Linked DNA regions of Rattus norvegicus. The protein of the gene in region 1 purifies or fractionates together with the protein of each later gene. This does not show direct contact. Links are inferred from orthologs where the notes say so. Each region holds a gene or a part of one and is shown on either strand. Other genes may lie near its edges.

The links.
Region 2: the proteins of Eef1a2 (region 1) and Eef1g purify together in Homo sapiens (affinity purification with mass spectrometry; 4 studies listed by BioGRID and IntAct, counting the BioPlex papers as one, with this or other methods). This does not show direct contact. The link is inferred for Rattus norvegicus from reciprocal best matches to the Homo sapiens genes EEF1A2 and EEF1G.
Region 3: the proteins of Eef1a2 (region 1) and Vars1 purify together in Homo sapiens (co-immunoprecipitation; 3 studies listed by BioGRID and IntAct, counting the BioPlex papers as one, with this or other methods). This does not show direct contact. The link is inferred for Rattus norvegicus from reciprocal best matches to the Homo sapiens genes EEF1A2 and VARS1.

Annotation. Positions count from the first base shown.
Region 1 is NC_086021.1:188,649,363-188,654,607, forward strand, and holds the start of Eef1a2 (elongation factor 1-alpha 2), read right to left. Parts: upstream 3,272-5,245; 5' UTR 3,020-3,271; intron 2,314-3,019; exon of another isoform or gene 2,245-2,313; coding exon of another isoform or gene 2,239-2,244; intron 1,750-2,238; coding exon of another isoform or gene 1,675-1,749; coding exon 1,531-1,674; intron 97-1,530; coding exon 1-96. UniProt on the Homo sapiens protein: Translation elongation factor that catalyzes the GTP-dependent binding of aminoacyl-tRNA (aa-tRNA) to the A-site of ribosomes during the elongation phase of protein synthesis.
Region 2 is NC_086019.1:215,287,664-215,292,897, reverse strand, and holds the start of Eef1g (elongation factor 1-gamma), read right to left. Parts: upstream 3,084-5,234; 5' UTR 3,081-3,083; coding exon 3,069-3,080; intron 2,073-3,068; coding exon 1,914-2,072; intron 1,095-1,913; coding exon 1,031-1,094; intron 894-1,030; coding exon 751-893; intron 412-750; coding exon 268-411; intron 1-267. Other genes in the region: Tut1 (speckle targeted PIP5K1A-regulated poly(A) polymerase), read right to left, coding at 4,077-5,200. UniProt on the Homo sapiens protein: Probably plays a role in anchoring the complex to other cellular components.
Region 3 is NC_086038.1:3,814,339-3,818,801, forward strand, and holds part of Vars1 (valine--tRNA ligase), read right to left. Parts: intron 2,345-4,463; coding exon 2,180-2,344; intron 2,082-2,179; coding exon 2,000-2,081; intron 1,672-1,999; coding exon 1,552-1,671; intron 1,442-1,551; coding exon 1,333-1,441; intron 1,252-1,332; coding exon 1,157-1,251; intron 1,066-1,156; coding exon 975-1,065; intron 768-974; coding exon 643-767; intron 561-642; coding exon 457-560; intron 363-456; coding exon 204-362; intron 125-203; coding exon 34-124; intron 1-33. UniProt on the Homo sapiens protein: Catalyzes the attachment of valine to tRNA(Val).

The DNA.
Region 1 (5,245 bases):
AAACTTCCAGAGGGAGATGTCGATGGTGATGCCGCGCTCCCGCTCTGCCTTCAGCTTGTCCAGCACCCAGGCATATTTAAAGGAGCCCTTCCCCATCTGGAAGGGTAGGGGCACAACTCAGGATAGGACACAGGACTTTGGGGTCGCATCCACCTACTACGCCTGTCCTGGCCCCAGGGAGCAACCATGAGAGGTTGACAGTTGGCTTAAAGTGCCTCGAACGGAGGACCTCTGTCCCATCTCTCCGGTGCTGTTCCTCAAACCCTGCTGTGCCTCACCTGAGGCCGCCCAGATCAACCAGCCCCACCCTTGCTCCCCTCCTAAATGGCTGTGAACACGCAAGTCCCCCAGCAGAGGGCGTGAGTGTCTGGGAGTTGCCAAACTATCCTTGCCACCTGAGGCTAAGGCTCTACACCCAATTAGAGGTCAATTATCTCATTAGGTTTGGGGCTGTGAAAAACAAAACAAGTCTCAAGTTATTTTTTAAGGGAAATTTTAAACATGAGTAAGTTGCTCAAGGTTTTGAGAAAAGTCTGGTTCCAGATCTTCCTGTAGTGGATGAATTCTTCTAACTCTGAGACATCTCCCCTCCCCAGTTCCACCAAAATAGGAGAAGTAGGAGTAGCCCTACCAAGAGCAAGGCTGGCTGCTTTTTGGAAACTTGTGCCAGGGTCAGACTCCTGGTGAGACTCCTACAGCCTGGACCAGAGCTGTGGTCATCGATGCTCAACTGAACATAGCTCCCTACCAGAATTTCAAATGACATGCTTCTGCATTCCACGGATGATGCCCAGCCTGGAGGGGCTGGCTATTCAGACAGAACCAGACAAAACCCAGCTGGGACCTGACCCAAGTGACCTTCAAACCCTCAAATCCCTCCTACCTCCTCCCCCTAAAATCACACCCTCTAAAAGGTAAAAAGCATCAGGCCTAGACACACAGAATTGTGGCTCAAAGTCCCATATACACACTGGAGCAAGAGCTCTGCATAGATAGTTAATGTCCTCAGGCCTGCCTTAGCTCTTATGCAGGAGCCAGCCCTTCTCAGAATGAGCAGGGGTAGGGGCAGAGAAGAGAATCCAGTTACAATCACTGCTCTTTCGTAGGTCTCAACCAGGAACAGGTTAGCAAGATCCCCCCTACTCCAGGTATCATCCTAGATCAGCAACCCTCCTCAGCTTATCTGGAGAAAGTGGAGCTGGCAAGCCTGCTGCCCATCAATCAACTATTAATAGCATCCTTGAGCCCTGGCTGTTGGAAGACAAGTGAGGGCAGCACCACATTCAGCCCAGTTTCAGTCCTGGGGAGCAAGAGGATAAGGCTTGAAGGGCCCCCTGGCACTGGCCCACCGAGGCCAAGAGTGAAGAGTCTTATAATGGACCTGGGGAGGGCACAAATTCCCCCTCCCTCAGTATGAGACAGATCTAGCAACATTCTCAGGAGACTGCTCTGTTTACCTACCCATATCCCCTTGCACTGAAGGAGGTAAACTGGGCAATGAAAGAAAGCACCAGGCCCCCAGGTCCTCACCTCTGCTGCCTCCTTCTCAAACTTCTCGATGGTCCGCTTGTCGATGCCGCCACATTTGTAGATGAGATGGCCTGTCGTGGTAGACTTGCCTGAGTCCACGTGGCCAATGACCACAATGTTGATGTGTGTCTTCTCCTTGCCCATTCTGCCTGAGTGAGGGACGGGCTGGCACTGTGGGGGCTCTGGCTCTGGGTTGAGGGTATTTGCTGGGCAGGAACTCTGTGGGGCCAGGGACAAGAGAAACAGGTGACTAGGGGGCCCTAAGAGAGCCCAGCAGAGATACCCACACCATTGCATTGTTTGGGAGCTCTTTTCCTGACCCAGTCTTCACCTGAGCCTGGATAGGGAAGAATGACACCCTCCACCCCCAAACCCTTGTCCTAAACGTGTCCAGACACATTGCATTCATAAGTCACCTGTTTCTCTACCCTATACCTTAACCCAAATGGTTCGTTAGTGTGTAAGTGTTTGGAGAGTTGATTTGGAGGAAAGTTCCTTAAGGAAGGGTTAATCCTGTCTGGACATCACAGAGCAGCAGACTGAGTGAGCCCCTGGAGCAGCCAGGAGCCCTGTGATGAGTCACTGTGCCCAGCTCTACAGTGCGCTGTCCTCCCTGTCCTCGATGCCTCCACCCCCCTCCTTCACACACACACACACACACACACACACACACACACACACACACCCCAGGGATGGACACTGCCCTACCCCCATCTGCTGCCACCATGAAGAGAAGGCCAGCACTCCTCAGCCCCTCCTCAGGCAAGGGCGCCATCTTCCTCCCTCTGCCCACAGGCTGGCTGAGGAGACAGCTGGATGGTGCCCAGGCATAGGCCCAGAATAGCTCAGGCCCTCCCCACAGGCAGGGGGCAGCCATCAGGGCCGAGAGGTAAGTGCCCTGTTCTAGCCAGAAGAATAAAAATCCCACCTGGCCCAGCTAAGCAAGTGCCCTCAGAGATGCCCCGACCCTCTCCCCTACCATCTGGTCCAGGCCCTGGGTCTTAGTACCTGCGCATCTTAGAGGTCAACCAAGAATCTCGGGCCTGGTGGGATGGGGGTGCATCCTAGGGTGGTAGCCACCGTAGAACGTGAATAGGGGTCCTCAGGTTTCACTACCATCACCACCCCCCGCCCTACTCTGACAAATCACGAACATCCTCAGAGCCCCAAACCACCATGCCAGCACCTGCAACGATCGGCCTCGCAGAACCCCCGGCAAGCCCCAAGGTCACAGTGACAGCATGATGATTTCAGGAGAAACATCCCCCTCCCTAACCCCTGTCACCAAGTATACAATCACCTAAGGGACTTACTACCCGACTGCCACGGGGACCCCACCATGCCCTGTCTAGAGACACCCCCTCCCAGCCCAGAGGTGCAGCCCAGCTAGGTGCCGCATGTCCCCCTCTACCTCAGGACGGGTTCACAGGAAGGCGAACCCTGGTTGGAAACCTAATCAAGGGTCTCAGACCGGGTTGTGCGTCCTTACCCAGAGCCGAGGTCTCAGTCAGAGGGACTGGTGGCGCTGGCGCCGGCGGTTTTATCTCTCTAGGAGGGGGTCCACCTATTGACGGTGCCGGCGCAATGCACTGCGCCCCTGCAGTACGGCAATGCGGTACCGGAGGGGGGAGGCGGGCGCCGGGAGGCTGGCAGATGGGGTGCGAACGATGCGCGGACGCAGGGGCCGCGCACCCACGGACGCCGGCCGGCGTAACGAGGATCCGAGAGGACGCAGCTGCAGAGATGTACCCGAGCGAGGGAGAGAACCACCGAGCGAGAGCACAGACCAGGAGAGAAAAACAGGCAAAAGGGCGGTGCAGCGCTCAGAGGTGGGGGCAGGGAAACAGAGCCAGGAAAGGAGGGGCAGGGATGGAGAGAGGCGAAAGAAGCAGTAGAAAGAACTGGAGTAGCAGAGACAGTGGTTGCTTGAAAGCAGGGGGAAAAAAAGGTACATCCAACATAAAAATGTCCCCAGGAAAATGGAACACAAAACAGGGAACCAGCAAGTAGACCCAGGAGAAGAGGTCCAAGCCTAGGTCAAGATCCCTGCAAGCCCTGATTGTGGCCATCCATTGCTGGCCCTGCTCATGGTTGAGTCCCAATGAACATGAAGCTCAATTTCCAGAGGTTTTCCATGATGCCCTACCCCCGGGACAGGTGCTTATTTCACATAGACCCTACATGACAGGTCCTTGAGGCCATCAGCAAGTCTAGCCCGGATCCAACCTTCTTAGGAAGCTCTGGAAAGAGGTTTTTTATACCTATTCCCTTAGGTATAGGGAATTTATGAAACCCATTCTCAAAGTCAAGGCATACTCCTGATTGCATTTCTGGTCAGACGGTCTTAGCTAAGGCCACTAAGAACATCCAGAGTTCAGACCCCCCCAAACTCCTTCAGGCCCCATGGGTAGGAACTAGAGAGCCCCTGAGGTTTCTAGGAAGATTAGGATATCCAAAACTGGCCTTAAGGGGGTTGTGGCCACCATGTGTCGTCACCAAGGACTTCTTCAGAGATGCCTATCATTTGACCCAGACATTCCTGTTTTCCAATGCTGCCACCTGTCCCTACCCACCCAATCTTTGTCATTGCAGGTAGGAAGCAGGTAGGAAGAAGGTAGGAAGCAAAGGTTCCTTGAGTATGCTGAATAACAGCAGGCCTGTGCCTATCTAGACATAGAAGACCGGGGTCAGGGCCCAGCACCAACTACTGAGGCAGCCCCCGTGAGGGGCCCTGGAGATGGGTGACCAATTAGGGCAGCTATCAGCTATGAGGAGAGAGTAAGGTGAAGCCTGAGGGTCTGTCTGGCAGAGGGCAGGCAGAGACTAGGCAGGCCTCTCGGATGACCTGGCAATTTTGAAGACTGCTGAGGCCGTCGACTGGGAGCCAGGAATTAAAAATAAATGCCGGGCAAGATATTAGCATTTACCCCACCCACTTGTCCGACTCATCTGTCCCCGGAATGCCTTCCTTCTTACACAGAGACGACCAGGCCTGGTTTAAGATTCAGGAGGCAGAGTGGGCTCAATAAAGAGATCCATCACCCAGAATCTTTGTGACTAGCTACCTTCCCTTTAGTTTTGGAGTCTTCTTCAGACACCCTTTCTCTACATAGTCTCTCTCTGTGTACGGCAGGGAGGCAGAGCCAGCAAGACCCAAGGCCAGGAGTTTACCCATCTAGAGGACTGACCCTTGATGACCAGAGGTCATGTTCTGCCTGAAACACCTATACGTTGACCTAGGGGAGGCAGGCCAAAAATACCTCCCTGTCATTGGGATATACGTTGCCTTCACTGCAAATCCCTGAAGGCTTTGTCGGTATGAGAGACCCTGGGAATATGCAGAAAGCAAATCTTTAAGAGGTATCACTGTTGATCAATAACATTCTCAGCCCACTGATAGCCTTGTGGCCAGCAGTTCCCAGGAGCCACTAACCCAGCAGGGCTAAGTAATGGCCAGATACCCAGTAGCCCCAGCAGCAGAGCCTGCACGTATCTCCCAAGTTCGGTGTTGGGACTGAATCTTCAGGAAGTAATGCTGGGATGGGACTTTCTAGGGGGGCATTGAGGTCCTGAGGGCTTCAGCCTGACCCTACCATATGCCTATGGATGTCTCTCCTGCCTCCCACCTTCCACTGTAGCACCTTGCCAGAAGTGTGGGCTTCTATCCTCTTCCACTGCATGGTTAGCATCACTTAAACTTCTAAGAAGTCTGTGA
Region 2 (5,234 bases), on another chromosome or scaffold:
AGTCCTCCTGTCTCAGCATCTCAAGTGCTGGGATGACAAATATAAGCCACCACATCCAGCCTTTCACCCATCTTCAATAAGATGAAAATACCCTGGGTTCGGTCCCCAGCTCCGAAAAAAAGAACCAAAAGAAAAAAAAAAAAAAAAAGATGAAAACAGTCACAGTTCTCAATGCTGGGATTCCTACAGCCATTAACTGGTCTGTCCTAAGTGGAACCGGGTACCCCAGTACAGGTCTACCCCTGTCAAATGGGACACAAACCTTACCTGTTTATAGAGCCACAATAGGGTACAGACAACCGTGATGTCAGCCAGTGTTACTCTCTCACCAACCAGAAAAGTCCGTGTCTTCAGATGAGTGTCCAGCAGCCCCAAGATTCGCTTCACCTCCTCTTTGGCATTTTCAGTGGCCTGTTGTTTTGAATACTCAAACTTAGTGGACAGCAAGTCCCTTTCCTCATATCCACCTACCAACAGAACTAAAGAAGCCATTTCATCAGCACTGACTCAACCCCCACCCTGTTATCATTAGACTCTGGGGTCAGTTGAAATCTATCAGAAATGAATCTCGTGCTAAGTTTCTTCATGGTCAGTATGACTTTATTTCCACCATACTGATGGTAACCACTTCAGTCTTTGCACTGCCCACACAACTCCTGGTGTCTTTTCCTTCTTCTACTTCCCAGCCCCAATACGTAGTCTCTGACCCCAACTCTGCCCCAGCTTCTCTCCCCAAGTTCTGAAGCGTACCTGCTTGTTGTGGTGCATAATGCCTAAGGTGGGGAACACCCAGGTGCTGGCTGGAGGGACGATGTCACTGTCAGCAAAGCTCACCCACTGCACCACTTGCGCTGCTGCCTCTGGTGTACTTCCCCGTAGCTCCTCATTGCTTACTGCAAAGGGAGAACATGTAGCTTAGAACTTGAGATCACGTCAAAACCAGTGCAATCTCTGAATCCATCTTGTCCACTGCAACCACTTCTGCAGCCTTACCCCCAGACCCTCTCACTCCTGTATCCCCTCAAATTACCGTAATAGGCGATGGCATTGCTCTCAAATACGCAGAATCCGTCATCGCCCTCAAAGGCTGGAACCTAGGGAGAAAGTAGTGAAAAACACAAAAGTAAAACACAGGGATTTCTCGATAGTCAACTCTTGGGATTGAACTATGCTAAATAATGTTAAGACAGACACCTCTTGCTATGCAAACTCACGACATCTTAACTCAGAAATGAAAAATACTTAGTATCCCTTATATGAATTCACAATGGCTGGAATTCAAACATGGCTGAAACACGGTGCCCTATACCCTTAATCCCAGAACTCTTATCTGAAACCAGTCAGGGCTAGTTGAGACCCCACCCCAAAATAAACAAATTCAGATACAGATGTGGGACAAGCCCACAGCCTTATCCCCCAAAGCATAGGTGCAGTCCAGATTCAGCGTCTGCCCTCCTCCACGTTTAACTTAGGATATTTAGCTCTACTCAAGCCCTTCAGGATAAGAAACTCTCAAGACACACTTAATATTGGTGTACAGATAACACCTGGTAAAAATAATTTCTATCCCACAAACATACAGCAGGTCTGTAATTCTTGACAGTCACTCAACAGCTGTGACTATCCCTTCATAAATACCCACCTCCAATGATTCTTTTTCTTTAGGGAGAATACATACTGTATAGGTTCACCTCACACAGTCTTCCTGCCTCAGGCTCCAGAGTACTGGGATTACCAGAAGCTTTCAAAATTACTTTTTTTCTTTGGACAGTCAAGTTCAGGGGCTTTCATAGCTTACATCCCTGGCCCCATGAGATTTTTAAGGAAAAAAAAAAAAAAAAAAAACAAATATACTGCGGAGGCCATCTCCAGAATAACGGGACTCTAGGGATTCCTGCTGTTCTCCTACTCACCTTGCCCGCAGGAAATTTTCTGAGAAATTCGGGGGTGCGGTTGGTTTGGCCGAAGTGGAAGTGGGGTGGTGCGGAGAGCACGCGGATCTGAGCCCCGCTGTACTGAGCAGCGATGAGGGCCTTGAAGGCCCTCCAGTTTTCAGGGTATGTGTACAGGGTCTACAAGATAAAGGGTGAAGGATGGCCTTGAGCAAAAGAATCCTGAATGCCACTCCCCACGCACACATCCAGGCAATTCCAATGTGAATAGCTTAGTTTCATTCCCGGGGAACCAAATTAACCGGGTGTGCCCTATGTAATCAGAGTCCTCTGAAATACCAAGGAGAACATACCAGCTGCTAAATAAAGCTTACCGACAGATGTGACCTCTCTTAAGGACATCTCTATAGCATTCTTCCCTTCAAAACTTCTGGTCCCATCCGACTCCCACCGGCCTAAACACACGCACACATTCACACCCATCTCTACCAGAACCCTTGTTTCATTCATTCATTCGTGGTGGCCCGGCGTCTACTTCCCGGATGGTACTACTTCAAAAGCACGCACTAGACCAAGGGGTTTCAAAGTTCCCCTTAGAATTGCCACGTTGAATTCTAAAGCTCATCAGTTGTTCTTCCTAAAAGGCCTTTCTTTGCACGTCTTGAATTAACATCCCTCTGGTCCTGTCCTGCAGTGAGCTCCCAGCTGTCTCCCTACAGGGCCCGAATGGGCTCATTTCACTGCTCATTTATTCCTCGGGCTCTCAAACCTCCCCGAAGGTCAGCTCCAACTGTGCCAGTCGCCCCTTCCCACAAAGACCTTCTCCTTTTCACTGTCCTCGTTGTTGACCCACAAAAAGATGGCAAAAGTTCCACCAACCTGCTCAGCCACCACATCTCAAAATGGCAGTGAGGCTAAACACACTTTTTAAAGGTCCAGACAGTGGAGACCCGGCATCTCTTTTTCCCAACCCCAGAACGTTCCACCTCTGGCCTCCGAGACCCAGCCTCAGTTCCCCTCCAGGCCCTAGAAACCCTGCTCTCCGACCATATGGCCTGTGGACCCCAAATCGGCTCTCGGCTTGGGTCTGAAACTCTTCCGGCGCCGACTGGCCCAACCCAAGTAAAGGATGGCGGCGGATAGGGTGACCGGAATCACTGGAGCCGGCAAACTTACCCCAGCCGCCATGGTGATTCCGCAGAGAAAGGGGGTGGGGCTGTCGGCGCTGCCGCAAAGTAAGCCGCAAGGGAGACAAGGGAGGAGGGAAGGATTGAGTCGTGTGGAAACAGCGGCCGGAAAGCGAGGACGGCATAAAAGGCGTACGCACGACAGTTCCGTCTCCTGCCCCGCTGAGTTGGAAAAAGTAAGGGGTGGGGCCGCTGCCTGGAGCGCAAAGAGAGAGCGCCTGCGTAGTATAGCTGTGGACACTGCCCCGCCCGCGTAGCCGACCAATCGGAAGCCTGATAAGCGACGGAGCTCGCCGAAGGAGGGGAAAAGTGTGAGAACCTGGCGGAAGCACCGCCCCTCCACGGCTGGCACCTGGAACCTACGACTATAGGAACTGCTGCAAGGAAGGGGTGACAATTTACTGAATTCATTTTGTTCCTGCTTGGGTTTTTCTATAAAGGGATGTCTGTTCAGCTGGGGCCCAGGGCCGAAAACATCTGAAAGCAGGTCTGCTCCGATTAAACTCAATGCTTTTAAAACTTCAACAAAGCAACGCGGACCACTTGCCACGTCGCCTGCACCTCTCAGGCTTGGCTGCGCCCCAGAGAGTCGGGTAAGGCAGCCCAGTTCTGATACAGTAATTTACACATACCAAAATTTGAAAATCTTGTATCCAACTTATGAGCAGTTTGAACTCTTTCATGTAAAAAGATAGAAAAGAAACCCTAAACTCGAATTTGTGGTGGTTCCCATCAACTGGAGCAGCAGGACAAACCCTGTATAGGCAAACCTTATTAGAAATCAATGCCTTTGCCTCGTGGTGGTGGCAATCACTATGAAAGTGTTATGAAATGGGAAGGAGAGCTCTGAAGTAGAATTAATAGGACTGTTTTAGGGTACTTAGGGCAGAGGCTACCCTAAGGCGAAGAGAAAAGGTGTTCCCAGGAAGAAAACAGAAGTTGTCCAATGTCTGTTTGAAATAAACTAGCAGCTTTATTGCTTTTGAGGCTTGGCTCCTCACTTGAGGAGATTTTTAAGTGCTTGAGGGATAAAAACCTGTAGAAAATGATGAAGACCAGGGAACAGGCCTTGGGGATCCTGGAGGGGTGCCACAGTGAGTGTCTGCTCAGCTTGGGAGGCCGATGCCACAAAGGTGAGGAGGGGCTCCCCCTGTAGCCTCTGCTGCTCACTCTTTGGTCCCTTCAGTTCCTGGGTTACTCGTGCTTCCACTGCCAGCCACTCTGCTCCGGTGCTGGGACCTCCTCTGCCTTCTTCCTTGGTTTGCTGCTGAAATCGTCTCCGGGCACGCCGCCTCCCCTGCCATATTTGGTGCCACAAGGCACAGCGCCAACTCACTGATGACGGGTGTGAAGCCTCCTTCTCTGTCTCACCGGGGGACCCTTCTCCAGCCCCCTCAGGTTCCATGGGATTCTGCTCAGCAGTCTTGTCTAGACATTTTGCAGTCATCAGGGGCAACTCCCCTGGTGGTCCACAGTGCAACAAGGCCCAGTCCTGAGGTGTCTCTCGCAATTCTATTACCATTTCTTCTACCTCATTTTCACTGTGGTCCCCTGCACATCCCTGTGGCTCCTCTTTCCCTTCCTCACAGCTCTTTTCTTGCCCACTAAGTCTTGGTCTTTTGTTTGCCCCTCCCAGGGGAGAGTCTTTAGATCTGGCACCTTCCGACCGTCGTCTCTTGGTTCCCTGTTCTATATGGCATCCTAGTGCTTCCCTTAACACACTCACCAAAGCTGTAATGATCTGTGGAAAGGGGGCAGAGGGTAAGGGGATAAGCTTGGCAGAGAGCAGGGAGCTAGGGGAGCTGGGCTGCAAAAGTGGGAGCAGTCCCCAGTCCCGGCCCCGGGAGGAGCGCTGCTGGTACTGGAGACTCCGGCAGTAACTAGCTGCTGCTCCACAACTGCTCTGCAGACGCTTAGCCACGCGGCTGGTCACATTGGCTGCAACATTGTGACTCAGATCAAAGGGGTCCTGGAGATTCATGGGGCCAAGGCGCAGCCCTTCCCAGAGATCAGAAGGCAGGCCCCCTGCCACCATCAGTGCCTGACCTTCCCGCAGGGACAGCAGGGAGCCAGAAAGATCCCAGCAAGACACGCAGGAGAAGAACTGGGCCAGCAGGGAACCTGATGGAAGCAGAGTAGAAAGGGGTCACCTGGA
Region 3 (4,463 bases), on another chromosome or scaffold:
CCAGCAGGCAACATCTAGCTAGAGCCTCCTCACCTCCCCAGGGGGTACCGCTGGGTCATGGACAGTGATGAAGTAGGCAGGGATTCGGTGGCCCCACCACAGCTGCCGAGAGATGCACCAGTCTCTGCGAACAGCAAGGGGTCAGTCAGGGTGCTCAGCCTGTGTCTCTCAGCTGCTGTGCTGCCCACCCAGGCCATACACACCGGATGTTGTCCATCCAAGAATGCCACGTCCGCTGATGGGCCTCAGGCAGTATACGGAGGTCTCCCCGGGTCACGGCAGCACTGGCGGCCTGAGCCATCTCCCCACAGCGCACGTACCACTGTGGCCTTAGCAGAGGCTCCACCACATCCTTGGAGCGGCTGCAGCAGGAAGGTCATAGAGAGGAGGCCATGTGCCAAGCTCCCAGAGGAACCCCACCCTTCCCTTCCCCATGTGCACCGTCCCCGGTCTCACTTGCATAGTGGCACTACCATGGGGTTGTCCTTGATGCCGCGGAACAGGCCCTGCTCCTTCAGGGCCGCCAGCACAGCCTTCCTGGCCTCAAACCTGGGCAGGCCCTGGATGGAAAAGGCCTCATTATGGCAATGCCCAAGACTCTCCACCTTCCACACAGGCCCCTCACTGTGCAGACATCCTCACCAGGAAAGGTGGAGGCACATTGACAAGGGCCCCCTTCGAGTCCATGATGCTAATGGCCTCCAGCCTATGTCGCTGCCCAACCTCATAGTCATTCTGGTCATGGGCCGGGGTGATCTTCACAGCACCTGGAGGACACAGGGTGTGCCAGGGTTCCACTGCATGCTGGGGGTTCCCTCCCACACCCCTCACGCTGAAGGGCGTGGCTCCCAGACCCCTCTGCTGTCTGCTCCCTAACACGGTGTCTTGTATCTTGTATCCAGCTTCAGTTCTGCCTACTGCACCGAAGGTAATTTTTCAGTCTTTTCTCCCAACAGGCGACAGCCACGGCTCACCTGTGCCAAACTCCATGTCCACAAAGTCATCAAAGACAATGGGAAGGCTCCGGGACAAGAACGGGTGGACGACACTCTTTCCCTTTAAATGCTTAACACAAACAGGGAAAGGTCAGGACTGGCAGGGCTGGGCACCAGGCCCTCACCCACCCCAGAACACAGCATGAGTGTCCACGCCCCACCTGGTATCTGGGATCTTTGGGGTGCACAGCCACAGCCACGTCCCCCAGCATTGTCTCGATCCGGGTTGTTGCCACCACCACCTCCTCGTCGCTGTCTGGAGTGACAGAAGGCTCTGTGTCTGAGCTCCCTCCACCCGCCCCCTCCCAGCCCACATCCTGGTGTCCTTAGCTCCCACCTGAGCCTTGGACCTTGTAGGCAAAGGACACGAGGACCCCAAACTCCACCTTCTCCTTGTAGCCAGGCACAGAGAGCAGGGTGCGGCCCGTCAGCTCTTTCTTATCCACCTGTGAGATGGGTGTTTAGAGAAGTGGGCCAGGCCCAGGCTAGGGAAGACCAGAGGGAGACAAGTGGTGGGCAGAGGGAGATGGGCCACTGTGGGAAGAGGCTTACACACCTCGATGTCAGAAATGGCAGAGTTGAGGGTGCAGGACCAGTTGACCAGGCGGGTACTGCGGTAAATGACCCCTTCTTCATGGAGCCTAACAAAAGCTTCTGTCACAGTTGCTGACAATTTCTAGGGTGAAGAAAGTGGAAGTCAGAGAAATCTTGGTGCCTGGAGGCCAAGGACAATGCCCAGGGTGGGGGTGTGAGGTGAGGACTGAGGGGGGACTGGGAGTTCACCAGGCCTATCCTAGAGTCCCACACAGAACCTCCAGGACAGTTTGTTTTTTATGGGAGTGCAGGGCAGGTCAGGGTCTGGTGATGCAGGGGCAGCTGGGGGCTTGCAGCTTAGGTCTGGGCTAGGCACTGATGGCTGAGCCCTTGGCTATGCTCTGACTTCCTGGCAGAGGGACCCCACCCAGGGAGCACCCCTGCCCCGCCCCAGGGTTCTGCCTGCATACTGGATCCATGGTGAAGCAGGCTCGATCCCAGTCCAAGGAGCTGCCAAGTTTCTTTAATTGGTGGTAAATCCTGTCACCCTTCCTGGAAGTGGACAGAGTCCAGGATAAGCCTTTGGCCACCCCTGTGGGAGCCCAAGCCCGCAGCCAGGGCTGCAGCACCCGTGGGCTTGCTGGACTCACTCCGCTTTCCACTTCCAGACCTCCTGAAGAAAGGCCTCGCGGCCCAGCTGGTGACGGTTCAGACCCCGCTCTTTCCAGAGTTTCTTTTCCACCACCACCTGGGTGGCGATGCCAGCATGGTCACAGCCTGGGTTCCATAGGGTGGTCTCCCCCCGCATGCGGTGCCTGTGGGACACAGCAGGGCCAGAGGGTGAGCCAGGCAGGTAGACCCAACACCAACGGTCTCACGGTTCTGCCAGAGGGGGTCATGGATGCTTAAGAAAGGGATGGATTGAAACCCTCTCATTCTGAAGTCAGGCAGAGAAAGAACTTGGAAGACCAGCAGAACAATCTCTAAAAAGAACAGAGGAGGTCTCACCCAGCCAGAGAGCTACAGGCAAGATGGTCCTAGGAACAAAGCCACAGACAGAAGCCAATTTCATCCACAGACCCAAGCAGATTACCCAAGAGGTCTTGCTCCTAACTCGCCATGTCTTATTAAAGTGCCCGACAGAGAAGATGAACAGGGCGGGCACAGGCCTCTCCAGATCCTAGTGACTGCAGAGGGACGAAAGGCATGTTCTTCAGTGGAATGATTGATACGATGCCCGCGCCCTGTGAACAGGGGAACCTTCACTCCGTTCACAACAAAAGGGGAGGCCAGGAGGAGGAAGAGGCTCACAGATGTAAGGGAGGACACAGGCGATAGGAAATGCCAGCCGATAAGGTAAGAAGGTGTTACGTGCCAGGGTGGTGGCTTCATCTAATCCCAGCACCCGAGGCAGAGGCGTGGATTTCTATGAGTTCCAGGCCACCAGGACTACATACGCCGGAATACCCATCTCAATGTTCCCATTTGCCAAAAAGGGCGGAGACACAATCAGTACTTCTTTTTTTTTTTTTTTTTTCTTTTTTCGGAGCTGGGGACCGGACCCAGGGCCTTGTGCTTGCTAGGGAAGCGCTCTACCACTGAGCTAAATCCCCAACCCCAGGGTTTTAGTTTTTATGTGTGCACCTGCGTGGGCGTGTGTGCATGTGGAAGGCAGAAGGTAAACTGAAGCCTCAGTCCCTGTCTTCCACCTTGGGCTGTGTTCTCCTGTTCTCCACTGTAAGAGGCTTACAGCACAGGCGTCCATTGCCCTCAGTGCTTCTGAGATTACAGATGTGCAATCCACGGGTCCCGTGGATCCAAACTTGGGTTCCCGTATGTTTGCAGCGTGCTTTATCCACTGAGCCATCTCCACTGTTCCCTCCCAACCCCTTGCATGTTAGAGGACCATCATCAGTGTACAATGAGGGGTTGGGGATCTAGCTCAGTGGTAGAGCGCTTGCCTAGCAAGCACAAGGCCCTGGGTTCAGTCCTCGGCTCCGGGGGGGAAAAAAAAAAGACAAAATAACAGTGTACAATGAAGTAAGGATTACAGTTCTGCTTGCTTATCACACTGTACTAAGATCTTTTGTGGAAAGGGATTGTAGCAAGTCTCTTAGAGATAGCAAGAAGTCGCCCTTACAGACACCCCAGAAAACATTAACATACTTTATAAACTTTAATGTGCTTTGAGGAACCGGGCGGCAGTGGTGCACATCTTTAATCTCATTGCCCTGAAGGCAGAGGCAAACTGGGTTTGAGGCCAACCTGGTCTACATAGCAAGTTCTAAGACAGACCCCAACTGAAAAAGAAGAAGAAAAGCGCCCTTTGGTATCATTACTGTTAAAAACAAATCTGGGTAGAGCAGCTCACCCATGCAATCCTCATGCTGGTTGGGGAAGGCAGGAGTGTCAGGAGTTCAAGGCCAGCCTTGGCCACCTAACTCATTGCCATTGGTCACCCATCTCAATGCCATTCTGGGCTACTAAAACCCAAAAACAGGAAATCAAAAGACCAAAAGCCAAACCAAACCAAACAAACCAAAGCTCCCTTAGGGGAGCTCAGAGAGATGGGTCAGCTGTGAGGAGCACTGGGCCAGCTGTGAGGAGCACTGGGTCAGCTGTGAGCAGCACTGGGCCCAGCTGTGAGGAGCACTGGGCCAGCTGTGAGGAGCACTGGGTTAGCTGTGAGGAGCACTGGGCCAGCTGTGAGGAGCACTGGGTCAGCTGTGAGGAGCACTGGGTCAGCTGTGAGGAGCACTGGGGCAGCTGTGAGGAGCACTGGGCCAGCTGTGAGGAGCACTGGGTTAGCTGTGAGGAGCACTGGGCCAGCTGTGAGGAGCACTGGGTTAGCTGTGAGGAGCACTGGGCCAGCTGTGAGGAGCACTGGGTCAGCTGTGAGGAGCACTGGGCCAGCTGTGAGGAGCACTGGGTCAG